Linked DNA regions of Caenorhabditis elegans. The protein of the gene in region 2 interacts with the protein of the main gene of each other region in a biochemical or structural test. Each region holds a gene or a part of one and is shown on either strand. Other genes may lie near its edges.

Region 1 (17,530 bases), 1.0 Mb from region 2:
ACCGAGAGATACTCTGAGGTCGTATCTCTCGTATCTCGGTAGGCATGGCTAAAAGTAATGTAGGGAATCAGGTGCACTAGAAAAGGTGAGAAAAGAGCTATGACTCTTTGAGCAGACAATTACAGGAAGACCTAAAGTTCATTCATCCACAAATACAACACATAAAAATGTTGGAATGACTCAAAAGTTGCAGACGAAGCATGATGATATTAAAAATCCCAATTTGCTCTTTCCAATTATCTTTTTTAAAAACATTTTTAAAAATTGTGCATATTCTCTACTGCAGCAAAACATTGTTTTCCTGTTGGCCATTCTCAAGATAAAATTTGAAATTTAAAACAGGCAAGAAATATATGGACGCCTACAAAGCATCAACTGGTGATCAGAAGAAAATGGAATAAATTTGTGATTACATTATGTACATGTGAGAATAATTTTATGTACTCTTTGTACTCAACACAATGTTTTTTGGCAATATTTGTTTTTTTTTCTTTTGAAATCGAAAATTATTTGGATAATTTGTTGGAAAATGAATTAGTTAACAAATGTTGAATATTTGAATGAAATATTTAAGCCTATGTGTTTAAACGGATTATATTTTTTGTAGCAAGCTTCTTTCTAAGAAGTTTGACATAGAGAGCATCATCTACGCATTCCATATTTCTATAGTTTGAAATACTAATTTCCAAACACTTTTTACATACAAAAAATTAAATTTTAAGTAGAAACGGGGTGGATTGAATAGCTTTTTGAAGAAGGAAACAGCACAGATCTCTTGGATTTTAGCAGTTTCAGACTCTATTTTTCTTATTGTTTTGTTAGTCTCAAAATGGATCATTGTTTCATCGGAAAAATTATCTTAAAATATTGTAAAACTTTAAATAAGAATGTACTTGCCCATAAAATTACGGAATGATGGAATGAGGATTAAAAAATCAATTAGAATTATGAGAAGGAATGAGATAACGAGGGATCAATTGACAAGGATTGAAAAAGGAAAAGCTACGTAGAAATAATGATAGTGAAAACATACATTTATCAATTTTAGAACCAATCTTACTGATTCTTATGAACGGCAATATTCAGGATTGATAAAGGAAGTAATGAGAAAAGATGGAAAAATAGAAGAAACATAAGAAAGCGTTGAAAGAAATAATCAAATTGTTCATGTCTGACTGACAGAGAAAGTGTAGAAAAATATCCAAAAGAGCAAGATACAAAAATCTTAAACAGATATGGATTTTAGAAGGGTATTAGAAGGATAAACCAGAGCAGTTAGAATAACATTAGAATACGGAGTCATTGATAGAACCTGGATGGTTTCTAATAAATTAATACTCAAAGTAATACCTTTATAATAGTTCTCATTTATCAACAAATATTGAATGTCGTTTTACCCAAAACTAAAAAAAAAACCGAGAGATGTGTTTTGAATGTAGATATTTATGTTCTTTGATCGAAACCTCAAACGTGTTCGAGATCACAAATTAGATTTGTTCCGCGTTAGAAGACAACCACTTCATGCCTCGAACTTTTCTTGTGTCTAGAAAAATAATATTGTCTCATAGTAAGGCATCTTTGAGTCAAACAGAAAAAGATTTTCAAAATTCTTTGTGTTCACTTGGTGGTCAATGAATGATGTGAGGATTAGTTACTTTTTTTTTGATAATTTTTTTCAATGCAAATAACCTTTATTCGAGACAGTCGTAAGTCGCATCGAAGGCAGGCAGGCAGTGAGTTTTATGCCTACGTCGAAGGCTTAATTTTATTGGAAAAATTGAGAACAGGTAGGTGTCGGCTGCTATAGTTTTCTGCAGAATTTCTTCAAGAAACAAGTGTAGACAATATGCGTTTGTTTGTTTTTTCATGTGTTACTGTTCACGAGATAACATTGAAATGATTAAAAGTTTTGAGACACCAAACTGAGAGTAGTACTTCTCCAAATAAACAAAAAAATTAGATCAGATAAATTTCTAAGCCTGCAGCAAGATATGTAAAAAAGTGAACATCGAGCTATGAAAATTAAAGAAAAATAAAAATGAAAAATGTTCATAAATATTGCAGCAGAAGCAAAAAAGTGAGAGAAGCATTATTATTGAGGCACGTGTGAGTGACGATGAGACACTCGGTTTGCTCACTATCAGATTAGTATGCGAAGGATTTTTAGTGAAGAAGGGGGTTTTTCGGGGGGAAAGATATACGCAGTTAAAGATAATACACTAAAGGAAATAAATACTAATGAATCACACTTTTTATGGGAAAAAAATGAGATGATCTGAAATTGATCTGAAAAAAAGCGAAAAGATATGATAAGGAAGAGTTCTTCCGGATGCAAAGGCGGAGAGATTTAGCAGATGAATGAATGTAGGGAAAGTCGACAGGAAATTAGAGACCGGAAGCGGAGGAGTCCATTCTGATATTTATAGTGACAGGAAGGACAAGTTTAGAAACACACGAATAGATTTAGAAGTGATAGGTGGGTGGATACTTATGAATGCAAATAATTTTTGGAGCAAAAAAAGTTTCATATGAAGTCCAGAAATCATCATTGGCAAAAATAATCTTTAAAATTCGTTTGATAAGAAAACAGACTGCGAATTTTTTATTTGTTGTAAATTTTTATCACCTGTAGCAAAGGTCTACTTATTGATTCTCTGAACGTTTTTTTTTTTTTGAAAAAAAAAACACAAACTGCAAGTTTGTATTCTATTATAGCACACCACTAACCAATACTGAAATATTTATTTTCTCGCAATTAATAGCTGTTTCTTTGTTACAAAAAAACTACAAATAGAAGTTTTGAAACTACAAATAGAAGTTTTAAGATAAATCTTCAAAATTGTCAGTTCAACTTTTTAAAGATGATGATGCAGATTTACAATAATTTATACAGCTCAGCTGTTAATTTCTTGATTGTCTCATATTTTATCATTTAAAGTAAAGAACTACTTAGGACAACATAGGAAAGTTCTTGATCAATTCAAAAATTACCAAAATCCAAGTAGTCAATGTTGGAATAAATACAAAATTGGGAAAAATGCCAAAATTAACTTTTTGGGAATTTAAAGCATGAAAAAAGTAAAATGTATTTTTTTCCAATTTTTAATATTACATGTTCCGCAAGAGCTATCCAACAAAATAAAAGTTCCCAGAAAGGGAATTTTTAGTTGTGATAATTATTATGAATGGAGCAAGAAGCAGGTGATCTGAAACAGGCCATATTGTATATATCAAACATAATTCTCAAATGTACGTAAAAACTTTTGATAAAATACATTTAAACTATTTTCCTTTGTAACACTGCGTAAAAATGAAATTGTGGCACATGACTTGTCATCAAATTTCCTGTTTTGCAATTTTCTTTCTATATAAACAAGAAAATATATTAAGAAACTGAACTTTCACTACGTTCGACAATTTTTCAGTTTAATTCTGAAATTCAAAATTTTAGTTTCTTTTTTTTCTAATTGTACAGAGACTTCAAGCGCTTGCTCCAGTATTTTGCGGTTTATGAAAATTGTTAAAAAGAGAAAGTATTGAACATTTTGAGTGTTACGATTTTGTAATTATTTCAAAAGATAAAAAGATACTAACTTACAAATTGCATAATGATGAGACTTCATGAGACTTCTTGAAAATGTATTTTTAAAATTTTTATGCAGTTTATTCAGTTATTGAACAAAGGAAAAGTCAAAAATTAGAAATTTTGTCAAAATACTCTGGTATTTTATAATTTTTGATTTTAAATGTTAAGAATTTTAAGAGTAGTAGGAAATAGAACTAACCTAGTTAAAATTTTAAATAAAATACTTTTAGGGAAAAATCAGACAATCTCTTATTGAATACTCTGGAAGACAAATGAATTCCATTATTCTAGGAAATTTCATTTCCAGGAGCTCTGATATTATCTCTGTATAACATACAAATAACTTTCACAAAGATCCGACACAGATATTGGATCTCATCTTTCATATATTTGGCATTTTGAAAGGTTTCTGATCCTGAAAATAAATTGGTACGTGGTGTCATTCTGGTTCTAAAAAGACATTTATTTTATGGTGTCTCGTTTCAAAAACCAGTTTGAGTGGGAATTATCGATTCTAATAAAAATTAAAGCTTAACCTCGATTTCTATAATCTTTGAAATAGTTTCAAGCCAAGCCAGAGAAGAGAGGAAAAAGATTTGAAATAGAAATGTTGAGTCCGGATCATAGTATATATACTACATTTGAATGGTTTCAACTGAAAATTTAGTATTATTGTACCATTCTGATTTGAGAAATAGGAACCACAATGTGGTAGAACTACGCCACCAAAAAGTTATTACGCGTGAACATCACATTTTGAAAGAAAGTCAACATATGATGACCTCATTATTAAAATGCCACGTAAACAACATAAAGAACTACAAATTGTCTGCTAAACCCAAATTTCCGTTTGTTGACGTGGAATTATTCAGTGCAAAAATTATGGAAACTTATAAGCAAAACTGGGGAAAGAATCTTGCTTCCTTCAAAACACACGAGATTATCAGCTCCCTCCAAGGATATCATTCAATTCCCCGTGCATCTCCTGTTATATCTGCGAATCTACACATTTTAGTACTCTCTTATCAGAATAAAAATCCGATCTAAATGTCAGCCATTTGGGATTAGAAAGAAGCGATAAAGTGAGAGAAGTGATGGATATTATTGAAATGTACAATGAATAAATGTATTTTTAAAAATTGAAGAAAAATGAAAAAGAAGACGCAGAAAGAAAAAGGATCTACAATTTAATGTAAACGTCCTTACTATCAGTCTCCGTTTACACAACTATTGTTGATAAGAAACGAGACAAAAGGGGCATCAAAAAGCGAAATATGGCGTAGTTTCTTCTGTCAAAGGTTATTGTTTATTGTTTGTCAAACATTTTTATGTTTTATGATTTATTAATTCTTATCGTTAATTATTATTTTTATGCAAAGAAATGGATAGCACTGAACGCGGTTTTGCAACAACGAAACCAAAAAGATAGTTTATAAGAAAACATAGAGTTACTAAAAAATTGTTTAACACAGATTGTCTGCCTAAACACCTACCTACTGCCTACACAGCCTGTTTTTTTAAATAAACCCTGTTTTGGAGCATTAGGTTTGTTTGAAAGAAGGTAATCATTTTGCTGCCTAGATTAAAGTTTTTCATGTTTTTTCTGCCTAATTTGATGTTTATACTTGATCTGACAAGTTTGTTTAAAATAGAACGTAATAAAACATGCTGCCAATTTTTTCAAATCTTATTCATTTTCAACAAAAGAAAATTAAATTCAGTTATAAGAGATCAATAATTTCATCAAAAAGCTTCTTAAAATATCATTGGTGCTTCCCAAAAAAGTTCACAGAGCGTACGTAAATGAGCGATATTTAGTTGGTCAACGACGCTAATATGATTCAGATTTTAAGAGAGATCAAACTTTTGAATCATAGAATGTTTCGCGTAGATTCAAAAATATATAAAAATTGAAAAGTGCAAATGAAATAACTTATATGAATAAGCCAAAAAAAGAATGTTCAATACGAGAATATGTTCATGAACATTAAGTGAATGCAATTGAATAAGGCAGACAGGTTTACTTTGAGTGTCTTCTCAAAATCTTTTGAAGAGAGGTAATCAGATAATCGATTCTTCTATTTCTTTATCTTTATTCAAAAAAGAACGATTTTTTAAGCTTTCCAGATGGAGTAGCTTTAACGTGGATTTATTTTGAATTAACTCATAATAATCTAAATTCACTCAAAAAAGCACTTTTTGCACAATTCAAAAAAGAATTTCAAAAAAGCACAATTTTTGAAATTTTCAGTCAATGTTTTGGTCAATTGCCAAATTTCGCGAAAAATTCAGGAAAAATTCGGTTAAAAAATCACATGTTTCAGCTCCTACAATAATAAAATAATTATTATTAGAAACATTTTAATAATGAAAAAAAATTGTCGACTTCCAAAATTATGATGAGTGTGGAAAACCGAGTCATCGTCATTTTAGTACTATATGAGTGATTTTTTAACAATATTCCCAATGCACTACTATCTTTAATTTGAAAAAAATTTACACATATACATATTAACGAAAAATCCAAGGAAGTCTGTCATCAAATCTTCTTTCCGTATTAAAAAAAACAAGCGTCGTTTTGAATAAGAATACACATTTTTTGGTTTGGGAAAAGAAGATGATGCAGATGAAATTATGGAGTGAGTAGAGTCAGGCGGTCGAAGATTGGCTCATTTCAAGAAATAAGTGCCTCCAATGGACAGTCCGTTTCAAGAAAAAAGAGAGACCTCGCTTTACGATTATATGGAGAAAGTGTATCGATTCAGGGAAATTCAGGAAAAATTTTTTTGTTTCTTCTATCCTTTTATCGCTACATTCAAGTGAGACGAATTAATTTTAGTCTTTCTAAAATCAAAATCTTCCACTTGTATGAAGACTATGGCGAGGATTTGAACGACCAAGAGACTTTCCATATTAGAAATTTAGAACATTATCAATGAACATGTCCTTGCTGAATCGAAAGTTGTCGGACGATAAGATGTGATTAACAACAATATTTCCGCAATTCTTTCATTTATAAACAGAACTGTAGAGGAAATTGGGATAAACTGCTAATGAAATCCTAGTTGAATGACGAAAAAAAAAGAAAAGACAATAAAAGTGGTAGTGTATATGAAGTGATGAAAAAAGAAAGGAAAGATGGAATACATTGAAACAAACCTAGATATGATGGGACCCGGGACAATATTGCGATCAAAAACAACTGGGAATTATGGGAGAAAAAAGGAAGAACATTAAATATAGGGAAGGGAACATCGACAGTGCCATAAATTGCAATTGGAAGTATAGATGCACGAAAATTCTGAATTTCATTGTGAATTCATTTAATTTTTCATGTTACCTATGCTTCCAACGTCTGCAAAAGGAATGAAAAGATAGAAAAATGACGAACGAAGAGGTGACAACAATGAAATAATACGGGAAGAATTGGAAAATAATTTCGGTTAAAATAAGTGTAGAACTGTGAAGGCTAAGCACCAACCATCGGCCTAGTCGTATAAGTCCCGTGGATACAAAGATATTCTCGACAGGCAAATGGATGGTTTGTAAGATAAAAATTGATGGAGCCGTATACGATATGCACAAATAGGGTTCATATATAGCGAAAATTGATGTAAGAAGTAGAAGAAGCTATTGGAAAAATCCCGATTTCTCAATATGTAGATGTTTCGTCTGAAATATATGTATGTTAATTAGCCAATTGTGGATTTACAAACCTAACGAAAGATCTTGGGTTACTGTAGATTCAATACTTTTGTCGGCGATCTGAAGCTTTACAGATAATTATGGCAAGCCAATAGACTACTTGCCTCTTTTTCTTTTTCATTCAGAACATCGCTAAACTGCCTTTCATGAATACGTGGTAGTTGCTCACTCGATTCACGAACACTAGCTATTAACTTCATTGGATCAATTCTGTATTGTCTAGATCCCAACGAAGACGTATCATTTTCTGCTGACTTCTCTTCATCACCGTACTCATTTGAGTATTTCGTCTTGTGTTCTAGGCTTATTTTGCCATAATCTTTCTCTACTCGAGCACGTGGTTCCAATATGGTTTTTGTGACTCCGTTGTCGCCAACTTTTCTGAAGCTATCATATGAACGAGATTGATGTGTGGATGCATGATCAACAACGCTGTATGCACCATCAGAATCGATGTATCGGGCGGATTGACCATCTCTGTAAAATGTTTTGATTATATGAATGCTTAAATATGTATTTTTTGCAAATTAAAAATGCTCATTTATGATGTAAACGAAAAGCTATAAACTCTTTTAATTTCAACTTTAAAAACGTACTTCTCGGTAAAACAGCTAACTGTTCTTGGTCTTCTTCCCGATTCATTGATATTTGCATTGGATAGGAATCTCTGAACAAAGTCTCCATCCATTAAATCATTTCCGAAGCCACTTGCAGAAACTGTAGTATCAGAATCATTGTGCGGTGACTCATGCATATAAAGCTTTTCATGATCCAAATCAACATCATTCGATTTCAACTTCAAGTGGTGTGTCATTTGCAATTGTACTTGTTCCAAAGACGGGGACCTCTTAGCTGGCCCAGAATTTCCCACATGAAAGTCGTATTCATTGGAATTGCGAACGTCTCTGTGCACATTAATTGTTCTACTTGAGTGAATATCTCCACGACTTCCTGTCTTCCAGCGTTGTTGATCATCCTTCTGAAGTCTTTGATGCTGTCGTGGGTACTGTCTTTCATATCCTTCTGTAATAATTATGATTTTATCAATTTTATTATTGTCATAGTCTTACGGTCGTGCATGCTTTCAACATTCTGATCGTCTCCATTCACTGATGTTCTTCTTGAACCAATATGTGAACGAAGATCATCTTCTCGAACTTGTTCGTAAACACGTTGACGAGGTGTTGTCGATGGATAATAAGAACCTGTGCTCGATGATGGTCGATTTCCCATGTTTCTAGACGGTTTTCTGATTTCTTGTGTTGATCGTAGAGATGGTGATGATTCACGGTGATTTCTGTGTTGTTCGGCTGAAAGTGATTGTTGCAATGATGCTTTGAACGAATAAACCAACCTTCATTTACCGGAAACAATCCGTGGACATAAGGAAAACCATCAAATACTACAGGATCCGCAAATGGCAGAGCAGACACTGAAACACAAAATTTCAATAATGATAATTTTTACGAAGACATAGAATATTGATGGAAGCTAAACGCTTTATTGTGGTTGAATTTACGTAATAAGATCATCACAACCGGGTGAAAAGACAAATATTACATAGTGGCGGTAGGAGGAACAAGAGAAAATTTTGTGGCTTAAAACTATCCAGAATTTGGCAAATTTTTCATGAAGAGCTCATTTTACACGATGAATATATAACATGACGAGAGATCTTCTAAAGGTGACCGAAATTTCCGTTCAAAAAGTTAAAGTTCTGTGGAACTATGTAAGAAAATGGATAAATATTTGAAGAATAACGCGCACCAAAGGATCCATCGACGATGATCGGTGGAGGGAACATGATATGTGTGCCAGGATGTAATCCAGCTGCACCTGAAAGCTTGTATGATTGTCGAAACAAAATATATAATAGCAACCTTTCAAAAATGTCTGAGCTTGCTGATGTTGCTGCAAATAGACGTATTTCAGCATGTGATGATGAGGAGTTAACATTGGTGGTGCAAAATGTGGCGTTGGAAATTGCATAATAGGGACGGTTGCTGCAAAATTTCCTGATTTTAAAGCACTCTGTAGTAATATTATTATCATTGTTATTTAAATAAATTTGATATGCTTTTCTTAAATAATTTTATAGTATAATTTGTGTGTACTATTTACAATCATAAAAGGCAAATTGCTCACATGAATTTTCGGAAAACGAAGATACTCTTGTGTGAGACCTTGATGGACCCCCAGACGACTCAGAAAATTGTTTTCCTTTGCTCATGTAACTGTGTTTGGAACGAGAAGAAGCTATTGATGAGCTTCTATGACGACGACCGTTTGAACCATCAGAAAGTTCACCCCGACACTGAAAAAATCTCGTTTTGAACTAAAATGTAAAATAAACATGACTAACCGGCATATTGAAATTTTTCAAAAAGTTTGCCGGAAGAGAATGATGCCAGATGGAGTTGTCATAATCATTTGGTTGTGGAGCAATGAAATCAAATTTTTTCTGAAAATTACTTGTTCTTAATCTCATTTCAGAGAGACGTGCGCTTACCGAGAGAACTTTTTGATAAGCGGTGTACAGCTTCTTTATGTTAAACTCCTTCGAACGAAGACTGGCACAGTTCAACGGAACCTCTCCTGACAGTAGATCCGCGGGCTCATACACGGAAGGAGTCATTTTAAGAATAATCCCACTCTCATCAATAATCATGTGTATGTTCCGATCAGAAACTCTGCTCGGTTCTGCCATATCAGTATTTTTAATGTTGAAACACATCGAAATAGGAAGGAGGTCCTGTAAATTCTCGAGTGTATATCTTTCTATGTATTCATACTCCTCACCATTATGTATCTCCTGGCTTTAAGAACATTGTCAATGTTCCCAACAACTTTAATTTCATAAATATTTCCACGAGTTTCGTTTCGATTATTGTAACATGGATAACTAATTATTGTCGTTGTCTCCCTCTCGATTACAGGCTGAAATTTAATGCTGATGTAATAGAAATATCCTTTAGCCAAACCATGAGTTGCGCCGTCGATGAACTTCCAAGAACTTGATCCACGTAGTATGTTGACAATGTGAAATGGAGAGTGAAATTCTGAAAAACAAAATGTTCAGGATATATATTCAGTTTATCTGCTAACATTCTCCGGTGCCGGAGACTCGCGGAAAAGTATTTCATTCAGTCGTTTTGCAGCTTCGATCAGTTCATGCTGATTCTTTTCGCGGGCGGTGATACGAAGATAGGTTGTGACGATTCCATTCTGAAGAAAATTAATACTGTTGGTTACTAGCTAAATCGGCTTGCCTTTTCTGGAGCATCGACGAAAGACATTTCCACATTTTGAATGGGGTTCTGTCTGACATGTGCCTGAAGTTCGTGAAGTGGCATCTTCATTTTTGACAGTGCCATAAAAACTGTAAAATGACAGTTTCTCTGTAAAATACGAACATTATTCATATAATCAGAGTTGAACGTACTCTCATCAACATTCGTGCTCTATCCACGTCACCAAAGTATCCAGTGATGGTTACTTGCTGTGCAAATGGATCAGGTGTAGTTCCTCCGACAGAACGATCGGGAAGTTGAATGAGGGTGTTAGTTTCTGCCATGATTGACGCGACATTCTCGTGATCCCCGTTGTCACTGAAATGAATACAATTTCTTTCGCTTAACTGGTGAACTAACCTGGTCATTAGTGAATAGTATTGGGATTCAAACTCCATATTGAGGGTTACTCTAGTTGGGTTAATCTCGATCTAAATGTTGAATCAGTTAATCAGTGGAATGTGAAGCAGTCAAACCATTGGTATATTTGACGGCAGAGGCAATCCTTGCGCTTTTAGCTGATGAATATGAGCCTCTCGTTTCGTGTTGTATGACACCTGTCGTCTCTGATTAGCATCCTCCGCCATCTGAATTGTTTGACTGTAACATAACAAGTTGTTGCCTTTACCTGTGCAGATTGCTGGAAATCATGATAGAAGTTTTCAGGATTCACGATAATATCTTTGAGGGCAGACGATACAAATAGTTTTCTAAAATCGGAGTATTAGAATGTTGTAAGCGTAAACCATATTTAATACCTTGCAGATGCCGCATTTTCTGCCATTTGGAGGCGTGTGTCAGCATCGTATTCAACGGCAGAGCGAACGAATGGATTGTAGGAGTGCGCTTCATCATGATCTTTTTCATGGCTTTGCTCCCCCATCTGCAAAATTGAAATCTTGTTTCTAACACTAAAGCGTTTGCTCAGTAAATTTTTTGAGTTTCAAATATTTTATAAATGATCGTCAGTGCCTCCGTCGATGTTACTGGTATTAGTATCATCGTGGAACGATTAATTACAGATAATATTAGCATTATAAGGATGAAATTGCACGAAAACAAATGAGAAAACACACTGAAAATCACGCTGAACGTGTGTTCGAGGAATTGGGCGCCAAACAATCTCCTTGAAGAACGTTGTAAGACCTGCTCGATTTCGGTAATGCGCCTTTCTGAAAACTTTCTTGGTTACTGTACTTTTTAAATTTGATTAGCTGCCTAATATTAGGGGCGGCTTCATTTAACAGACTGAACATTTGAATTACATTTTAATAAATTGTTATACTATTTTGTTATATCTGTGTTGCTTTCTACTTTTTCAAAATTAACTTCCCCTTTTTTAGAAACACCCATTGGCTTTGCATCATTTTTTATTTTGCGAGCTACTGTAAACAAGTCCGCAAACACCGCACACAGAGAATTACGTCTTAGTCGACGCGCAAACCGCTTTAACTTATTTTCGCTTTTTCCGTTTTTAATACAACTTTTGTTAGTTTCCAGGCTTTGAATATGGATGAAGAGGGTTCTCGTTCGTCTATCACTGATGAAGAAGATTATGTAGACGATAATGATAATGGCGAAGACTATGAAGGTATGCTTATATATATATTTTTTCAAATTTCTTCAACGTATGGTTTTCCAGCGACAATTGAAGAGGAGGAGCTTCTAGATGAAGGGGACTACGAAGATGAATTGAAAGGTGAATTTCTTTAATTTGCTTCTGACTCATTTTTCTTTTCAGACTTGGAAGATGAGGGAGAAATGTCAATTGAAGAACTTCAACGTAAGTATGGCTATCGTCCAGCGGAAAATTCATCTGCAAACAATGAAGATACGGAAATCGCCGAAGAAGTAATTTACAAATGATAAAGTGAAATTATAAAATGTTTATATTTTTCAGAATGTAGGGGAATCAAGTTCGGCTGCTGCAGAACCGCACGACTCAACAATTTTCGATATGGGTAATTCAATGAGTGGCTTCGACGACGATGATGACGACTATGCACCACCGCCAGACCCATGGAAAAGAAGTATTCGTGTGGATCCAGTACTTTTCCAAGCCGACGTCCCGCTTTTTAATGAAGCAACGGTTGAAGGTAAGCAATGATCTGATTTTTGATTCTATATCGATTTATTTCTTCAGAATCTGCTCGAGAAGATGACACTATTTTATGGACAATTGATCAGACGAATCAGCCAAGTGATGAAGTTATTGACAACTATCTCAAAGATGTAGTAGGCTTACGAAAAGCCCACGACCAACCATGTCCACCAGCTGGCACCGAATCACGAGACGACGAGGACGCTCTATGTGCTTTGTATAGAAGCAACTTTGACACAGAAAAGGCGAAAGAATCATTCCCTTTTCCTCATATAAATGCCCCATTCCGCACTGTTCGCTCAGATGCATTGGGATTCGATGAGAGTGAAGCAAAGGCATTTGAAGAGTCACTCGAGCTGTATGGAAAAGATTTTTCGCTGATAAGGAGACTACGGGTTAGTTGTATATTTTGCAAATTCAAAAAGTTTTCATAATGTTTTATTTTAGCTACCCTACCGGAAAGTTGGAGAACTTATCGAATACTACTATCAATGGAAATTAACCCCTGGGTGAGAGAACGACGATTTCAAATTTTAATAATTTATTTCAGCTATCGAGTTTGGCGGGACGCTCATCCACAGCATGCGCCAGTAGTTCAGCCTCATTTATCTGCTGCATGGCATCAGCAAGTAGCTCAACTGGAAGATCAAAATGGTCAAACTGGATTTGTTGAAGCCTCCTTCTCCGAGCCATCTACTTCAGAGGAGCCATCAACTCTTACGAACTAAAACTAGGGAACTATTTTTTTACTTTTTCACCTAAGCATTTATTATTTTCGATCTCTGTTTAACAAATAATCTCGCCCCTGATACCCATTTACGTAATCACAACAATCAAATTCCTTCGTTGTCAAATTAATCTGAATCAAATATTCACTTTCATAAAATTTCATTGTTAAAATTAGAGTTTATCAACATTGATGACGACCCGTACACTGTCGGACTTCGGTCTCCGTATCATCACACTCGATTTCCTCCCAGTCATCATTTCTAGCACGTACAACACGTCTTCTTCTGGTCTGTGATCCTTCACCACATGTAAGTGAAAAACTGGGAGCCCCGTAAAAATATGGTGGAAATATGGAGCAAAAAGCATACCAATCGGAAGATAATGTTACTGTCTACTGAAAACCAACATTTAATTCTGCCATCTCGGTCTCAGTATCTGAAAATTTGCATCTGAAATTTTGGTGTTAAATCCCGTAGATTTTGCACTTATCGACCCCGTTTTCAGAGAGAGAGAGAGAGAGTAAATTATAGCTACGTTCGCACTTTTGTCTTACCGCATAAAATCCAATGCGCGTGCTCCAACCAACCGCAGTTGGCCCATGATCCAAGGGTACACCGAATTGGGGGTACATTTGTTCTTAGGGTACATTCGACATCATCACAATCATTCTTAGGCTACATCCACCGGTTTGTTCATAGGGTACATCGGCACTATGTTCCAAGGGTACATCCAATTTTCAAAGGTGTTGGGTATCTACGTGTACCTAGCCCTCAACGTGGATATGAAGATCGTGCAACGTGAACTCATGATCTATGTATACTAACTTTCTATTTATTCCTTTGTTATTTATGTAATAATAAACTACTCGTCTTAGCCTCCTGGTTCAGCCTCGAATACATAACATTGTCGAATACATAACATCGAATACATAACATCGAATACATAACACTCATCATCTTTTTTGCATATGATCACAATTTTTTCGTTTTTTAACTGCTGTATTGAAAAATTCGAATAAATTCATAGTTTTGTTTCTAGATTTCGATTTTGTGAATTATTTATCAAAAATACTAATGCGAAATGAAATTGAAATCAAGAAACAAAACTATGGTTCAATACGGCAGTTAAAAAACAAAAAATTATGATCCTATGTGAAAAAAATGAGAAATCACAACTCTAAGAAATTTCAGTTATAAAAATCCGTTGTACCCCTTGAAAATTGGATGTACCCTTGGAACATAGTGCCGATGTACCCTATAAAAATCTTATGGATGTACCCTCTGAACAAACCGGTGGATGTACCCTAATAATGATTGTGATGATGTCGAATGTACCCTAAGAACAAATGTACCCCCAATTCGGTGTACCCTTGGATCATGGGCCAACTGCGGTTGGTTGGAGCACGCGCATTGGATTTTATGCGGTAAGACAAAAGTGCGAATGTTGCTATAATTTTTAGTATTTTTAGTCAGTAGCGAAAAAGACGCCCGTAGTCAAAAAGCCATGTAGTCAAAAATCCAGTAGTCAAAAAGTATTTCCCCAAAACTATACTGATTTGGGCAAGTGATAAATTGGCTGAAAATTGTTTGAGCAGCACCGAGGTTTGATTAATAACAAATTATCTATGGGAAAGACTGAGGCACTTTTCATCGATAAGTTTCATGAAAAATCAAAAAACGAGAAAATAAGTTTGAATTTATGAAAAAAAATTGAAAGCAATAAAATATTTAAAAACATGCAGCAATTAAAAAGGTTAACAACGGAAGCATTTAATTAATTGATTGGCTTTCAATTTTATTGAGTGTATTTAGTACTTTCTTCAACAAGTTGGACTCGAAATACAAATCTATATCTACATTACAATTTGTATATGCATTTCTGACACAGAATTTGTTTCCTTTCCAGATTTTGACCTCTTTGAAAAAAGAAAATTCCTGTTCATCTTGCAACTTGACAGTTTTCTCAAAATATAAATGATTATTCTGAAGTGATGACTCGTATTCCCACGGCTTTGGCTTGTAGTTGAATGCTGGAATCACCATATTTCTATATTTAAATCCTGGTGATGTTCCATAAATCGGTTCGTGAATAAACAATCTCCATGTGACATTGAAATTTCTTTGTCCCTTCGGAAATCCCATTCTCAAAAACATCATAACAAAACGGCAATGATGCTCGACTGGAAGTGGTGAGAAACTATTTGGAAGAGTTATAATCATGTTCTTGGTTGGAAAAATTCTTCGGACATTTTCAATGATATTATCCGTTGGTAATATTTCAGCACTTCTATGAAACATTTTAACCAAAGTATTAACACCAAAGCGTAGATCTAGTTCCACTTTCTCCAATGAATTTTTAGAAATTGGATGAGTTGAGATTGGATCACCAAGTCGTTCTTTAGTGAATAAATGAAATTGTTCAGGAATTGTAATAAACTCTTCCATATTATTAATTGTGATTATTAATTTTACAGTCTTCACTTTCCAGTTTGAAATAATGATATCAATAACTTCTCTTGTTATATATTTATAGTACCAAATTCTTGGATTTGGAACAGCACTGTGTGACAACCTTAAAATAAGTTTGTCGCATGAAATTTTTGTTTTCTTGATGCTTTCCATTTCCCAATTCTCTATTCCTACTTTGAATTCCATATTTGGAGGATCATCCGGCAAGTCAGCCATCCTGAATGAAATTGATTATAAGTAGTAATTCCAATTCCTTCTAACTTTCTCGCAATCAAACATTCAAAGTCGGGAAATCTTGAATGATTATTTATTTGATTGTTCTCAATTTAGCGAAAATTCTAACGAATGAATTGAATGACTTAGTATTGACATATCATTGAAATATTGTTGATGATTCAAAAAATCGTTCAGCCAGAAAAAAATCAAATCACTCAAAACTTACACTTCCGGTAACTCCAGTTCTTTAAAGTGTTTTGGTTCTTTTCTACGAATAACATTAATTTGTGCTGGGCCGTATACTTCACAGTTTAACATTATTCTCATGCAATCAAAGCATCCGTGTAAACATATATCAATCATTCCTTCGAAATGTAATATCGATTTATCTGTGAAAATATGGTTTGTTTCAAACTTCGATTAATCAACTCACAGTTATTCCCTATTAAATCGTTCATAATAATATTGTGAAACAGCAGATCGTTATTTAAACAGAAATGGCTAAATGGAAACCCACGAGCTGGTTCAAGAATTAGCTTCACAATTTTAACTGCTACAGTATCTTTTAGAAATCTGTAATTAACATACGCAAAAATTATTTAAAAATGCTTTTCTTACCTAAAAAATGAAGACATCTTGTTACTGGTTACCTTCTGATAGTTTAAATATATGTAACAGTAACGGCACTCATAATCAGTTCCCATGTATTCTGTGTATTCATCTGCTACATCACAATGGTATGCAGTATGAAGGACGACTTCACGATGATCTTTCCGGATTTTATGCAGAACTGCTTCGTTGAAACTTTTCTTTATCAGCTAAATATAAATTCCATTGTCATTGGTGATTTAGATTTTGTGACTTTTTTAAACCATGATACAACTTACCCTTAACGGTATCAAGGGAAAAACATATTTCGATACATTGTTCAAAATCTTGTCCAGAATTATTTCATTATCAAACACAGCGTTAATTGGGTCAAAGTTCTGAAATGCCAAACTAAAGATGAAAGAAGGAAAACTCAACTCACGTTTAAATACATTGCAAATCCTGTAAAAAATGTTAGAGCAGTCACGTACGTACAGTCTCTCAGGCAGCTGAAAATAAGGAGACAATGCACAAGATTAGAAGGAAAGGAGAGTCATCGTCAGTTGCGCATTGTATCTTTATACATGGCGTTGACCCACCTGTTACTTAATTGATCATTATTGCCACAATCGGAGCGTTGTTTAGTAATAATTGACCAAATATACATTCCATGAAGGAAACAGTCGCATTTTGTGTGTCACTTGAGCATTATCTTTTTTGTAAAATACATCAAATCATCTCCAAATAGATTCAGTAGTTATGCATGGTATTCCCTGGTAGGTCTATGACGTGTCAACTGCCAATTTCCAAATTTTTCACTAACAACAAGTCTACATGTTCAGATGGG
Region 2 (15,568 bases):
TGAATGGAGCAAGTCGATTACTGTTCAAGGTGGAAAGACTCTTGAAGCATGTGTTGTTCGTGCTTGGTCACGTGGAAAGAATCCTGTGGATGTTGACATGACCATCGACTTCTTTGGAGTCAAAAAGCCAACTTCTATTTCACTGATTCATGGAGCAACTAACACGCCCATTCGCTTCCAAGCTGCTCCAACGAAAAGTATCGACGTTTCTCCTTCGATTTCTCTAAAATCACTTGTTGTATCACTGAAACCACAATCTGCCAAAGTAGAACCATTGGGACCACGTGATATGTTCCTTACGTCTGGACTTCAAATCAATCGTCTTCTGTTGACTTATCAGCTTAAAGGTAACCTTTTTTAACTACATAATTATTAAAATATTATTTTTTCAGTTCAAAAACCAAGTGAAGTGCAACTTCAACTTGCTGGCCTTACTCCATATTTGTATGAATCTCCTGTGGACTGTGTACTCTTCCAAATTTTCGGAGCAAACAAGTCGTTTGTGGGTGCTTCTTCTTCGTACCCGGATCGTTGGACTCAGAAGCTTGAGAAAGGAGATTATACTATTCAGGCTCAGATTAGATATCCGGATGATCAAGTTTTGCAAGGAATGAAGGAACTTCCTCTGCTGTAAGTAATTCTTTAAATTCTAACTGAAATGATTTTTGTGTTTCAGTGTTCATGTGAAACTTGGAAACAAAATTTCTGTTGACCTCGCAGCTTCTGCCAGCGATGCAACACTTGGAAAAGAGTGCAAATTTGCTGGAAAAGCCCTTCTTCCAAATCAAGAAATGACCGTCTACGCTATGAATATCGCTGATGATAAATTGCCAAAGACTATCGTACCAACAAGTGGAAGTTTCCTTGCTGGAACATTTAGTGCTCTCAAGGATTCTGATTTGAGTGATGTAGACAAATCTGAAGTTATTTACTTTCTCAGTGAGTACTCTACTCGTCCTACGAAAGGATTGTCAATGGTTACAACAAAGAAAGATACGAATCAAAATCAGGAAATGACTGGTAGATAATAATTAAAAATTGTATCTTTTATTAAATTCATATTTACAGACGCCATTCGCGATTTGGAAGTATCATGGGTGCAAAAATTGACAGACGAAAAGGCAGCGAAAGAATTTTTCGAAGCTTGTCTGCAGAAGTATCCAGATCATCTCCCACTACTTCAGAATCGAGTAAAGCAATTGATGCAAGCAAAACTTGTGGATCAAACACCGGAAAACGTGCAGAAGATTATTGAATTATGTGGTCAAATTTTGCAAATCACAAAACCGAATGAAACTCTTCAGTTCTCATCCGTCAAGCAAGAACATGATGATGATCTCCTTACTGTTGACAAATGGCTGGCACTAACCGGAGGCAGTGAGGACCAGCGAAAGGATGTGGTGAAGTTGATTTCACAATTTGAGGAACGGAAGAAAAGTATTATTCTCGCTTTGCAAGCTCTTTCATCATTGGAGCAGGATATTGAAGTTCGTAAGAGCAAGTTCGACGTTCCAGCAAGTCTTCGTTTCGGAGGAATCACTCCTCTAATTTTCGGTGGAAAGCAAGGAGAAGTGATCAATAAGAAGTCTGAAGGTTATGAAGCACTGAAATCAAAATCTGAACAAATTGATGCAACTGTCTCTGAAGAACTGAAAAAGTTGGATAGTAATTGGACTGGAAATCAGTTTTACGTCAAGCTTCTCGTTTGGTTGTCTGCTGATGATACTAAAACTGCACTGATCTCTGCCAAACATGCAGCTGCTCTTGGACAATTTGGAAGATGTGCAAAGCTTCTCAACAAAGCTGGAGATGAACTGAAGTCGTCTGCTACTGATTCGCAAGCTGTTGATACATCATTGGCTGAAGTCTGCGAAAGTCTCGAGTGGAATCATCTTGCTACTCACTTTAAAAATTCGGCTCTGATCAAAAACAGAACCTCCTACCGTCTTTTCTAATTAGTGTATCATAAGAAATTTCGCGGGTTTCTTTTTTCTGGAAGCTTTTTTGCTTCCATTTCCGTTGTGAATCAAATGATTTTCCCATTTGAATAGATAAACTTTTATTGTTTTATAAATGAGATCAAACAAAAATTTTGCAGAGATACATTAAAATTATTAAGAAGAAGAATGTTCGAGGTTGCGACGAATTGATGCATGGCATGTACTCACAGAAGTTCCACCCAGTCATGTGGGTGAGAATCTTCTGATATTGGCAGTATGATTTGACAGCACTATTTCCACATGATTTTCTCACTACTGCTCGCTCACATTGTGTGGTTCGTGATACGGAGCTCAAAATTAAAAACTAATCTCAATAAGTCTGAAACTATTAGACTCACTCGCAACTGCCAACTTCCAAAACGGAACATTCAGTATAAATCGTGTCAGAGAGATCATTCAAACTGATTGCTTGCATACATTCATAATATGCCACAACTGAAATATTTATAAAACAATGAACGAGAATGAAAAACCTCACAATCATTTCCATAATTACAATAGAATTCAAGAAACCCCGTTTGTGAGATGTAATAAGCTGCATTGCTTTCTGAACCAAAAATTGCATTGAAAGTGTTATAGTTGAGACAATCATTGATGACGTCACTATGACAGTGACGTAGAGTTGTATATGTACTGTAATTATTCGTCTTTTTTAAAAATATTTATTCTAGCATGTAAAACCGGTTCTATTGAAATTCTTCAATAATTTTACAATTTAAAAGGTGTTGCAATGTTGTAATACCTTCACATACCTACACATTCCAGTGGCATCGTACCGAATTTTCTTAAATGGATCTTCGTCTGCTGGGGGAAGGCTAGTCACATTTGAACCATATGATTGAAACATATCTATATAACATTGTTGTAGCACTTGATCTTGATCAGAACTGCAGTTATGCAGCACTCCTTCGTTTCCCGCTACGGTTTGCTTCACTAGACCTGCTAAATCAACTTCGAGTGTCTCTAGCGATTTAGTAACGATCGTAACCACAACAACGAGAATATTCCAAATCATCAAATATAGGGAAAGAAAATTTTGTGTTTCGAGCAATTTAAAGTGTTTAGTCTGAAACAGAATAGCTCGTAAAATGTCGTCACCGTCAGTCGACCGGTTTATAGCTTTTCGGGAGGTTGAAATGTGTTTATCAATTTGATATGTTACGGTCCCGGAATTTTCCAAAAATTTTTATTGTTTCTAGTAATCATTAGTAATCAAATTGATAATTATTTTAAATACACTTTTTAATTCTTGAAACATGTGATTAGAATCTCGCATTATTTGAAAATTTCAATTTGGTTACGGTAGACAATGACAAAGTACGCAAACACCAGAGTATGTGACACACTTTCGTCATTTGCGAATTCGATTTTAAATATTATTTTCATATTCCCATTCCTATTTTCTGTGAATTGATAATTTTTCTATGAGTAATCATTCTAATAAAATTATCAACTAATCGACATGGACCAATCAAAGATGCGCAGAACGAATCAGTTCAGAAAAGTAAGTTTTCAGTAACTTCTAAAGAAACAAATGGCCTAAGTTTTACAGACTTCCCAGAAGCCTCCTTCTACAGGGATTGACAGTTATCCGACTCCCGCACAATCACCAATGGCGCAGCATGAGACACCTATGTGGGACTTCAACTCTCTCAACCCGTATTTCTCAATGCTCAATATGAACGATGGGATTAATTATGCTCGCCATCAACAGAATCACATTGTTACATCGCGGCCACCAACCCCGCTAACTGATTTGATGAGCCTTCGGAGTTTTCAGAGCTTTGTAAGTTAGAGTAGGCAATTTTTGGTTGTTTTCATTACTGATTTGCAGCCCAATGTGTTCATGCCGGTCTCGCGTAGCCGAACTTCATCATTCATTCAGTCTGATACGGATTCCTCGCGTCTCGAGTCGGATGATTTTTCACAAAATGTCCGATGTTTCTCTGCGGATATTGATCGTAGCAAGAGCTATGGTTCTTCAAAACACTACCATTTGAAATATTCGAGGTTCGAATTAATTTATCACTATCCTCTAGTATTTATTCTTTTTTATTTATAGACCCGCTCTGTCGAGGAACTCTAGATCATTCACAAGATCAAACAATGTGCTGCCAACCTGGTCCTTGGATTCCAATGGTGAAATGCGTTCAAGATTGTCGCTCTCTGAAGTTTTGGATAGTGGCGATTTAATGAAGTTTGCCGTTGACAAAACTGGGTGCCAGTTCCTAGAAAAGGCAGTGAAGGGCAGCCTGACATCTTATCAGAAGTTCCAATTGTTTGAACAAGTTATTGGGAGAAAAGATGATTTCCTTGTAAGTTTTAGTTTCTGCGAGCACACATGACTTTTCTTTTCAGAAATTGAGCACGAACATCTTTGGAAATTATTTGGTACAAAGCGTTATTGGAATTTCATTGGCAACTAATGATGACGGATACACAAAGCGACAAGAAAAGTTGAAGAACTTCATCAGTTCCCAAATGACAGATATGTGCTTGGACAAATTTGCGTGTCGTGTTATCCAATCCAGTCTCCAGAACATGGATTTATCCCTTGCGTGTAAACTTGTTCAAGCTCTACCTCGTGATGCTCGTCTTATCGCAATCTGTGTTGATCAAAATGCCAATCACGTCATTCAGAAAGTCGTAGCAGTCATCCCACTGAAGAATTGGGAGTTTATTGTGGATTTCGTTGCCACCCCAGAGCACCTCCGTCAGATTTGTTCTGATAAGTATGGGTGCCGTGTTGTGCAAACTATTATCGAAAAGCTCACTGCTGATTCAATGAACGTTGATTTAACTTCCGCTGCTCAAAATCTTCGTGAACGAGCGCTCCAACGACTCATGACTTCTGTGACTAATCGGTGCCAAGAATTAGCTACGAACGAGTATGCCAATTACATAATACAGCATATTGTATCCAATGATGATCTGGCCGTTTATCGGGAATGTATCATAGAGAAATGCCTCATGTGAGTGTTATTGTTTAATATCTACTTGATTTTTAATCATCAATATTTCAGGCGCAACCTTCTTTCGTTGTCCCAGGAAAAGTTTGCTTCTCATGTTGTTGAGAAAGCATTCCTACATGCACCATTGGAACTTCTTGCCGAAATGATGGACGAGATTTTCGACGGATACATTCCACATCCGTAAAAACATTAGTTTCAGTCACATAAAAATGAAATGTTTTTTCAGGGACACGGGAAAAGATGCCCTCGATATCATGATGTTCCATCAATTCGGAAACTACGTCGTTCAATGCATGCTGACTATTTGCTGTGATGCTGTGTCTGGAAGACGGCAAACGAAAGAAGGAGGCTATGACCATGCAATCTCATTCCAGGATTGGCTGAAAAAGTTGCACTCGAGAGTTACGAAAGAAAGGCATCGCTTGTCAAGGTTATCACTATTGTCACAATAATATTTTGAAATTCGAAATTCAGGTTCTCATCCGGCAAAAAGATGATCGAGACGCTTGCCAATCTCCGTTCAACTCATCCGATTTATGAACTCCAATCTTCGGGACACGATTCATTCAAGACGGATTACTTCAGTACTGCTTCCGAGCACGATGGTCCGGAGTTGGAGAAGAATGGGATCGAGGAAGGAAGCCTGATGCTAGAGCCACGGAGCAATAAGTCTTCAGTCTCTGTCAAATTTTCTTCTTCCGGTAGTCACGGCGATGATTAAGGTGGAACTTTCTCACCATAAATCTCATCCCACCCACTTATGTTCTGTTGTTTTGTAATATTTTAAACTGGTGCAATGATTTCGTTTCGATTTTAAGATCGATGTTGTGCCTTCCCCACTCTTATCATTGCCCAGTTTTGTTTTTTCTTTTCTTTTTTGTTATTTTATTGCTTTTTATGCAGTTGTGTTATTGTTTCTTTCTGTTTACTGTTCATTGTTTTTGTTAATTTTTTATTTTCGATTTTAATGAATCCAGATAAAATTAGACAACTTGGCAAAATATCGTTCGAGTCTTTGTCATGCTTCCACCGAGAGCTTCCTGCTTCCATACAATGCCTGCTCAGAAAACAATTTTGAAAGCGAAGAGAAAAGTTGTTCTTTGCTCGGAGAACAAAAAACTGATAACCGACAAATGTTGACTTTGTAAATTTAATCAAATTAGAAACCATGAAGAATAAATATAGTTCAATTATCATATTGAAATTTATCTTACAATTGCATCGATTTCAAAATAATGGGACTCTCAGAAAATAGAAAAACAAAAATTGGATACTGGGGATGAGGAAGAACTCCGCGAACATTGGCGGTCCTTCTCTCATGTGGTCCTCGTATAGGTGGTGGCAATCCTCTCATTGTTATCCAACATCGAGAAAATGTTCTTCGGCTAGAACTCTGAAACAAAAATACTTTCAAATTAAAATTGTCAAGATAAATTCGTACTTCCTGACACAATTTGTGTTGTTGCAGCGTTGAATTCGATTCCAAACCAAGTGGCAAGACCAAGACCCAGCAATGATGATGGAATAGTTGAATTGACAGAATTCCTCGAGCATATCAGCAATGGATGTTGATGCAAGTGGATGCAATGTTCTTCTTTTGTTTCTCATCAACGTTTGCCTTATGATTGTGAAGTGACTTGATGAACTCTCTCTGCCATGCTTAAAGAACTTGTTCAGCAGCAATTTCGTTCCATGCATCAATGTCTAATCCAGCCTTCATAGAGTTTCTTCCAGGCTTCTGCTTGAATCTCAAGAAAACATAGGCGGGGCTTGCAACGAGAAAAACTGATTGAAGAGCATCATCTCCTGATAGTTTTCCTCCCTTCTTGGCACGTCTTGGATCTCCTAGTATCATATCTTCAAGCCAATTAAGAACGTTAGATGCGAAACCAGAACATCCACTGTGTATACATATTCATCACTTCGGACCATTTGTCTTTGTTATCTTTCAACCATTCGAAAACAGACTTCCGGTATTATTTATAATCTGAAACATGACTTTATATTTTAATAGAAAAACGAATTTACTTAAATACAGTCTTTCAATTCTCTGGCTTTTTGCTTTTTCTCTTTTTCTTCTGCAGCTCTGGTTTCCTCCGGTGACAAAGTAGTCGTAGTTGGAATAGGAGCAGTTGTTACTGGAATATTTGCTGGTACTGCATCTTCAACTGCTGGAATCGCATCTACTGGTCTTTATTCTTAATCTTAAATTTTATGGCAAATACTGTTTTACTACTTGATCTTTTACTATGTATCTCTTTTACTACAAGATCTCTTTTACTACGGAATCTCTTTTACTACGAATTCCGCATTTAGATCTTTTACTACAATTGGCTCTTTTACTACGTGATCTCTTTTACTACCATTTGACCACATATATCTTTTACTACGGAAAATACTTTTTTACTACCTCATTTTTTACTACGTGGATCTTTCACTACGGTTTTTTATTCCGATGTTTTGCTACAGTTTGTATCTTTTGCTACGGTAGACATTTTTACTACAATGGCAGGGATTGTACTTTTCACTATGTTTCGTATCTTTTACTACTAATTTTTTACTACGAATTAAAAATTAATGTCTATAGTATTTTATATTCTAGATATAAACAAATGTATGAATTTTTTTTCAAAATACATAGGTCATAATTGTAGATGGAGTTAATGGAGGGAGACTGTTGAGTTACTGTAGTGGTATTGTGGAAATAACAGTTTTCAGATTATATAGTGTTTTTTTTAATTTCTGGAAATTTATTCACTATGAAATGAGCAGAACTTATTATGGCCATTTGGATCTAGAAATTAAAAAAAACACGATATGATCTCTTGCTCTCTTGTAAAACTTTTGTAAAAATTTCAGAAACATTTAAAAAGTCCTCTATAAATGTTTTAAAACTCAGAAGATTTTCTGAAAATGAAAATGTAGGTATCCTATCTCGGTCGTCAATTTATTTGTCATAGTTTTCAACTACAAAGTTGTTGAATATGGTATGATCTACGATTTGTCAGTTGAACATTTTTTTACCAAATTGTTTTTTCGCGGAGATATCGGTACTTGGAGTCAATACGTTTTATGAACTAACTTTTGACAACTTATCTCCGTTTTTTTTTCAAATCTAAAATCGTGATATAAACATTCAAATTGACCGAAAACAATAATAATTTTATACAAGATTCGATAAATTTAGAAAAAAAACATTTCTAAAGTGTTGATCAAAAGTTTCAAAATGTCAGCTGAAGTCAAAATTTTAAACACCTGACAGATAACTGACCGAACCCGCAAGTTTTTTATTACATTATAGACTTATACATATAGACATTATAGACAAAACTTATAGAGCAACGGGTATGGAACTAATTTGTTGGCTATGCGAAAAAAAAAAGAATTACTCCCACAATACCACTACAGTAACCCAACAGTCTCCCTCCATTAACTCCATCTACAATTATGACCTATGTATTTAAAAAAAACTATTCATACATTTGTTTATATCTAGAGTATAAAATATTATAGACATTAATTTTTAATTCGTAGTAAAAAATTAGTAGTAAAAGATACGAAACATAGTGAAAAGTACAATCCCTGCCATTGTAGTAAAAATGTCTACCGTAGCAAAAGATACAAACTGTAGCAAAACATCGGAATATGAAACCGTAGTGAAAGATCCACGTAGTAAAAAATGAGGTAGTAAAAAAGTATTTTCCGTAGTAAAAGATCTATGTGGTCAAATGGTAGTAAAAGAGATCACGTAGTAAAAGAGCCAATTGTAGTAAAAGATCTAAATGCGGAACTTGTAGTAAAAGAGATTCCGTAGTAACAGAGATCTTGTAGTAAAAGAGATACTTAGTAAAAGATCAAGTAGTAAAACAGTATTTGCCTTGAAGGCAGTAAGCAAATTCGTTTTTTTTTCTAGTAAAATATAAAACCACGTTTCAGATTGTAAATCATACCGGGAGTCTGCTTTCGAATGGTTAAAAGATAACAAAGACAAATGGCCAGAAGTGATGTCTGAAAACATGTACCCACAGAATGTTGATTACGCAGCAGAGATGACTGGAGGATGTTCTGGTTTCGCATCTAACGTTCTCAATTGGCCTGAAGATATGATACTTGGAAATCCAAGACGTGCCAAGAAGGGAGGAAAACTATCAGGAGCTGATGCTCTACAATTCGTTTTTCTTGTTGCAAGCCCCGCCGATGTTTTCTTGAGATTCAAGCAGAGCCTGGAAGAAACTCTGGAAACTCTCTCTCTCTATGAAGAACATTGCATCCACTTGCATCGACATCCATTGCTGATATGCTCGAGGAATTCTGTCAATTCAACTATACCATCATCCTTGCTGGATATGCTCTCATGCTGGCATATGCTATTGTTACTAATTCTCGATTTGACAACTGCCTTCCGGCTACAGAATCATCAATGGGGGTTCGCCCTTGCAGGAGTTCTTGTCGTCACATTCGCTTCAGTGGCAGGTATTGGTCTCGCCACTTGGTTTGGAATAGAATTCAACGCTGCTACAACACAAATTGTACCATTCCTCACTCTTGGAATCGGTGTTGATAATATGTTCATGTTATTGCACAACTATCGTGACGTTGTTAAACTTGCTGGCGGACACGCTGAGATGGCTATCCTGATGCGTGAAACTGGAATGTCAATTCTGTGCACTTCGATCAACAACATTCTTTCCTTCCTCACTGGAACTCTTCTACCAATTCCAGCTCTGCGATCATTCTGTGCTCAGTCCAGTATTCTTCTCACATTCAATTTCATAGCTATCCTTACAATCTATCCAGCGATCATTTCTATTGATCTTCGACGAAAGAAGGCTCAGCGTCGTGATTTCGACACTAGAGAAGAATCGTACTCGATGATTTCTAAACCAAAGATTCAAAGTAAACGAATTATTGGAGCACTTCGGAAGCTTCGATTATGCAACAGTTCGACGGAATAACTCAAGCGCAGATGGCATCGAGCGATGATCCAGCTCCATGGTCTCTTCATTCATTCATCCGTTACTACTACATTCCATTCATTTCTAAACCAGCATCTAAAGTAGCAATCATCGTTGGCTGCTGTGCTTTGCTCGGTGCATCATTTGTTGGAATGCGTCAGTCGACACTCGGTCTTGAATTGGGAGATGTTCTACCAGAACATACTGCACCTGCACAGTTCTTGAGAGCCAGAGACAAGTACTTCAGGTAAGAAGTTCGTTTTTGATTCAAAACATTTTTTTTTCTTTTTTCAGTTTCTACCCAATGTTCGCAGTCATCAAGGGACCTAACATTGATTATGCTCACCAGCAACGCCAGATTGACAATTACCGACAGTCGATTGGATCTTCAAAATATGTGATTAAAAATAAAAACGAAGAGCCATCAGAAAAGTATTGGCTGGGATTAATGCGAGACTGGCTCATTAGTATTCAACGCGGATTCGATGAAGAAGTTGCTAAAGGATCATTCAATCTTACATCTGGAACAGTTATTGGCAGCAATGTTTCCGAGGATGCTCGTCTTGCTCACGCTCTCATGTGCTCTCATGGTTCTCTATTTGAGTGTGCTGGAAGAATAGGAAAGATTCGACTAGTTGATGCAAGTGGAATTATCAACTCTGATGGATTCTACAACTTTCTTCCCAACACCACCAAAATGGGAATTGAGCAAGAATAATACCGAAAACTTCATCCCAACTGCTGAGCCACTTGCATATTCGCAGATTCCATTCTACTTAACTGGCCTCACGGATACTGCTGTGATTGTCGATGCCATAAAGGACATCCGAAGTGTTTGTGAACGATTTACCGATCAAGGACTTCCAAATTTCCCACAAGGAATCGCATTCACATTCTGGGAACAATATCTTTTCTTGACTGGAAATCTTATGCAAGCCATTTCGATCATTACCATCTCTGTCTTCTGTGTCATTTCCGTTCTTCTTTTTAATCCATGGGCTGCACTTATGGTTGTTTGTATTCTCGGAATCATGACTTGCGAACTTGCCGGATTCATGGGACTCGTTGGAATTAAGCTCAATCCGGTTTCAGCCGTAACTTTGATCACCGCAGTTGGAATTGGAGTCGAATTCACTGTTCATGTGGTTGTCTCATTCCTGACGGCGCTCGGAACAAGATCTCAACGAACGTCATCTGCAGTTGATCGAGTTTTTGTTCCAGTAATTCATGGATCATTCTCCACACTTCTCGGTATTTTGATGCTTGGATTCTCAGTTTGAGTGAGTTTTACAGAAGTATGGATGTCATCAGAATTTTATTTTTCAGATTTGTTGTCAAATATTTCTCTATTGTCATGACGGCTCTGATTTGCATTGGAACGGACTAATTCTTCTCCCAGTTTTATAATCTTGTTTTGTTCCAAGAAGAGAGATAAAATGTTTTGTTCCAAGAAGAGAGATAAAATAGAGATTCCGTAGTAAAATATCCAATTGTAGTAAAAGATCTAGATGTGGAATTCTTAGTAAAAGAGATTCCGTAGTAAAAGAGATCCTGTAGTAAAAGAGATGCGTTGTAAAAGATCAAGTAGTAAAACAGTATTTGCCCAAAGTCTGACCAGCGAATCATATCATCAACTGACAGCGCACTCAACGACGTCCCAAGTGATCGGAGTGAGGATTTTGGGAGAGATGGATGCGGCTCAAAAGCTTTCGATCCATCGCAAAAATAATCTATTGGAGTAATCCAAATGCATATCATATCGATGACGTCACCAAGCGAGGAAGCGGCAGAATCGGCTGCGACAGATGGTGGAGCTGGTTTGAAGCAGATGTCGGATAGAGACCAGTCCCTAAAATGATCAATTGTTACAAGAAAAATATATTGGTAGTCTTCACTTACACTCCATGAACTGAAACGTTGAAACTAGCGATGTGCTTCATAATCTCGGCGTGTTTTAGAAGAGCGAAGAGGTCCTGCAGCAAGTGCATCTTGTCCCACACGTTTTTTTTATTTTCCAATAATCCACATTAATTGTAATCAATGTTGCAATCTGAAAAGTGAAAATCAGCTAAATCAGAAAAAAGGAAACAACTTACGTTGAGAGTTTAAATATATAAAAACCAGCCGTTCGCACGCGCTGAAGCGCGTGCTCCGACTGGCGTACTCAAAATTAAAATCAAATTCTGAAATTTCTGAGCCTTTCTTTGCAGATGAAACGTTTTTCCCTGTTTTCCGGAAGTTCTCGAGCAACATAAATATCTACAAACTATGGAACAAACGGCCTTCATTCCGAGATGACAAACTTTTTGGTGGCAAAGGTTCTTTGGGGGCATAGTATCCAAGGAGACAAAGTATCCAGTAGACAAACTGGGGTGTATCTTGGGGGGCATATCTTTGGTGACAACCTTTTTTTCAACTAGATTTTTATATGTATTTTTCAACTAATTTTTGTTCACATTTTTCTGGAATAAGTTTTTTAATGCAATTTTCAATCGATTATCGGTTATAATTCCCTCACAATTAAATGTATGAACGATGGTCTTTTGGGAAAAGCTGTAAAAGGTCCAACTAACTTGGAATATCGTGAGGCTCTTCCTGATGGTCTGATCCTTCAGCTCCGAGGGATCACATAGGTACCTTCTGATGTTCTGATCCTTCAGAAAAGAAGGATCGTAAGGGTACCTCCTGATGGTCTGATCCTTCAGCTCCAAAGGATCACGAGGCTCTTCCTGATGTTCTGATCCTTCAGCTCCGAAGGATCACATGGGTACCTTCTGATGTTCTGATCCTTCAGATAAGAAGGATCGTAAGGGTACCTCCTGATGGTCTGATCCTTCAGCTCCAAAGGATCACGAGGCTCTTCCTGATGTTCTGATCCTTCAGCTCCGAAGGATCCGACGTCATCATCTCGAAGAATCTTACGATATTCCAAGTTAGTTGGACGTTTTACAGCATTTTCCCAAAAGATCATTGTTCATGCATTCAATTGTGAGTAGTCAAGGCCGAAAATCCATGGAAAATTGCATTTAAAAACTTATTCCAGTAAAATATGAACAAAAAATGGTCAAGAAATATATATAAAAAAACTAGTTGAAAAAGTTTGTCACCGAAGATACGCCCGGTCAGAGACAAATGGCACTTTGTCGACTGGATACCATGTCACTTTGGATACTTTGTCCCCAAAAATACCTTGCCACCCTAAAAGTTTGTCCCCTCGGAATGAGGGCCAGTTACCAGTGGCCATAATCGTGTGATTATTATTTGGGATGTTCGAAGTGTTTGCTCCGCCCTTTCTGGATCACAATAGACAATTGCTTCTTCTACTTCTTGAATGTCTCATAATTCTTCTTATTTTTATCTAATTTATTGCTTCTCCTTTCTATTTTGTATATTAACTCCCAAAAACGCCCATTCTTCCCCAAAACCATCTAAAACTTACCAATATTTCCCGATACCCCTGACAGGTTATCCTGAATAATGATTGTGATTCTCAAATTTCTTCTAATCCCGTTAATTCCCCAAATATTCGAATGTAACTTTTTTTGGAATTTTTTTGTTTTCTAGTTTATAAATAAACAATATGTTTGAAAAACAATCGTAATTTGCGTTTTAGATGGTTAAACGGTAGGAAGCTTAAGCTTCCTACAACATCCAAATACAATGCAATATTTTCTGAAATTCTAAATATCAAAACATCATCCGGAATATGGAGATTTAATGCAACTCTATAGAGGTTTATGGGGACTTAGTCTTCTGGAAATTGAATTATGTGATTATGAATTAATTTTAAAAAAACCAATCCCAATCATACGATCGTCGACGACGATCGTCCCTCGCGTCTCGCGAGAGCCAACTGGTTATAGCTTTTCGGGAGGTTTAAATGTTTTATCAATTTTATACGGTACGGTCTGGAATATTCCACAATTTTTTATCTGTTTTAACAGAGAATATCTCTCCATGGAGATGCTAAAATTTTGAGAGATAAATAAGCAAATCGCATTGTTTGAAAATTTCAATTTGGATACGGTAGACAATGACAAAGTACGCAAACACCAGAGTATGTGACACACTTTCGTCATTCTCAAATTCAATTTGAAATATTATTTTCTTATTCCTATTCTCTATTTTCTGTGAATTGATAGTTTTTCTATAAGTAACCATTCGAATAAAATTATCAACTAATCGACATGGACCAATCAAAAATGCGCTATACAAATCAGTTCAGAAAAGTTGGTTTTCAGCCATTAATATTGATAAATGGCCTAAATTTTACAGACTCCGCAAAAGCCCACATCTACAGAGGTTGGAAATCATCATACTCCCGCACATTCGCCGATGGCGCAGCATGAGACATCAATGTGGAACTTCAACTCTCTCAACCCGTATTTCTCAATGCTCAATATGAACGATGGGATGAATTATGCTCGCCATCAACAGAATCACATTGTTACATCGCGGCCACCAACCCCGCTAACTGATTTGATGAGCCTCCGGAGTTTTCAGAGCTTTGTAAGTTAGAGTAGCTAATTTTTGGTTGTTTTCATTACTGATTTGCAGCCCAATGTGTTCATGCCGGTCTCGCGTAGCCGAACTTCATCATTCATTCAGTCTGATACGGATTCCTCGCGTCTCGAGCCGGACGATTTTTCACAAAATGTCCGATATTGCTCTACCGAGATTGATCGTAACAATAGTTCTTCGAAAAATGACCATTTGAAATATTCGAGGTTCGAATTAATTTATCACTATCCTCAAGTGTTTATTCTGTTTTATTTATAGACCCGCTCTATCGAGGAACTCTAGATCATTCACAAGATCAAACAATGTGCTGCCAACCTGGTCCTTGGATTCCAATGGTGAAATGCGTTCAAGATTGTCGCTCTCTGAAGTTTTGGATAGTGGCGATTTGATGAAGTTTGCCGTTGACAAAACTGGGTGCCAGTTCCTCGAAAAGGCCGTGAAGGGCAGCCTGACATCTTATCAGAAGTTCCAATTGTTTGAACAAGTTATTGGGAGAAAAGATGATTTCCTTGTAAGTTTTAGTTTCTGCGAGCACACACGACTTTTCTTTTCAGAAATTGAGCACGAACATCTTTGGAAATTATTTCGTACAAGAAATCATTGGAATGTCATTGACAACTTATGATGACGACAACATAAAGCGACAAGAAAAGTTGAAGAACTTCATCAGTTCCCAAATGACAGATATGTGCTTGGACAAATTTGCGTGTCGTGTTATCCAATCCAGTCTCCAGAACATGGATTTATCCCTTGCGTGTAAACTTGTTCAAGCTCTACCTCGTGATGCTCGTCTTATCGCAATCTGTGTTGATCAAAATGCCAATCACGTCATTCAGAAAGTCGTAGCTGTCATCCCACTGAAGAATTGGGAGTTTATCGTGGATTTTGTTGCAACCCCAGAGCACCTCCGTCAGATTTGTTTTGATAAGTATGGGTGCCGTGTTGTGCAAACTATAATCGAAAAACTCACTGCTGATTCAATAAACGTTGATTTAACTTCCGCTGCTCAACATCTTCGTGAACGAGCACTCCAACGCCTCATGACTTCTGTGACTAATCGGTGCCAAGAATTAGCTACGAACGAGTATGCCAATTACATAATACAGCATATTGTATCCAA

Evidence for each region.
Region 1: the proteins of fbf-2 (region 2) and gld-3 form a complex in vitro, tested with the Caenorhabditis elegans proteins (one study listed by BioGRID).

What each region holds. Positions count from the first base shown.
Region 1 is NC_003280.10:7,126,577-7,144,106, reverse strand, and holds gld-3 (Defective in germ line development protein 3), read right to left. Parts: upstream 11,465-17,530; coding exon 11,340-11,464; intron 11,292-11,339; coding exon 11,210-11,291; intron 11,169-11,209; coding exon 11,058-11,168; intron 11,013-11,057; coding exon 10,942-11,012; intron 10,900-10,941; coding exon 10,734-10,899; intron 10,690-10,733; coding exon 10,561-10,689; intron 10,517-10,560; coding exon 10,397-10,516; intron 10,351-10,396; coding exon 10,273-10,350; intron 10,229-10,272; coding exon 10,091-10,228; intron 10,044-10,090; coding exon 9,801-10,043; intron 9,753-9,800; coding exon 9,654-9,752; intron 9,606-9,653; coding exon 9,437-9,605; intron 9,295-9,436; coding exon 9,172-9,294; intron 9,128-9,171; coding exon 9,059-9,127; coding exon of another isoform or gene 8,970-9,058; exon of another isoform or gene 8,780-8,969; intron 8,724-8,779; coding exon 8,646-8,723; intron 8,602-8,645; coding exon 8,362-8,601; intron 8,315-8,361; coding exon 7,888-8,314; intron 7,769-7,887; coding exon 7,396-7,768; intron 7,352-7,395; coding exon 7,303-7,351; and 4 more. Other genes in the region: T07F8.4 (ELM2 domain-containing protein), read left to right, coding at 12,091-12,172, 12,224-12,280, 12,323-12,432, 12,482-12,677, 12,725-13,077, 13,130-13,191, 13,233-13,410; F10E7.1 (ATP-dependent DNA helicase), read right to left, coding at 15,181-16,096, 16,322-16,484, 16,529-16,668, 16,714-16,913, 16,983-17,081, 17,126-17,192, 17,283-17,350. UniProt on the Caenorhabditis elegans protein: Required maternally for germline survival and embryogenesis. Forms a complex with gls-1 which promotes the oogenic cell fate by freeing the translational repressor fbf to repress sperm promoting factors.
Region 2 is NC_003280.10:6,079,267-6,094,834, reverse strand, and holds fbf-2 (Fem-3 mRNA-binding factor 2), read left to right. Parts: upstream 1-3,354; 5' UTR 3,355-3,462; coding exon 3,463-3,504; intron 3,505-3,552; coding exon 3,553-3,786; intron 3,787-3,834; coding exon 3,835-4,010; intron 4,011-4,062; coding exon 4,063-4,315; intron 4,316-4,358; coding exon 4,359-4,972; intron 4,973-5,023; coding exon 5,024-5,152; intron 5,153-5,198; coding exon 5,199-5,402; intron 5,403-5,446; coding exon 5,447-5,693; 3' UTR 5,694-5,972; downstream 5,973-15,568. Other genes in the region: tpp-2 (Tripeptidyl-peptidase 2), read left to right, coding at 1-347, 393-630, 677-1,020, 1,069-1,955; nspg-3 (DUF19 domain-containing protein), read right to left, coding at 2,080-2,290, 2,339-2,435, 2,479-2,633, 2,753-3,015; F21H12.3 (uncharacterized protein), read right to left, coding at 11,329-11,776, 11,827-11,915; fbf-1 (Fem-3 mRNA-binding factor 1), read left to right, coding at 14,115-14,156, 14,203-14,436, 14,485-14,654, 14,707-14,959, 15,003-15,568. UniProt on the Caenorhabditis elegans protein: RNA-binding protein that binds to the consensus sequence 5'-UGUGCCAUA-3' in mRNA 3'-UTRs. Involved in the control of stem cells and sex determination in the C.elegans hermaphrodite germline.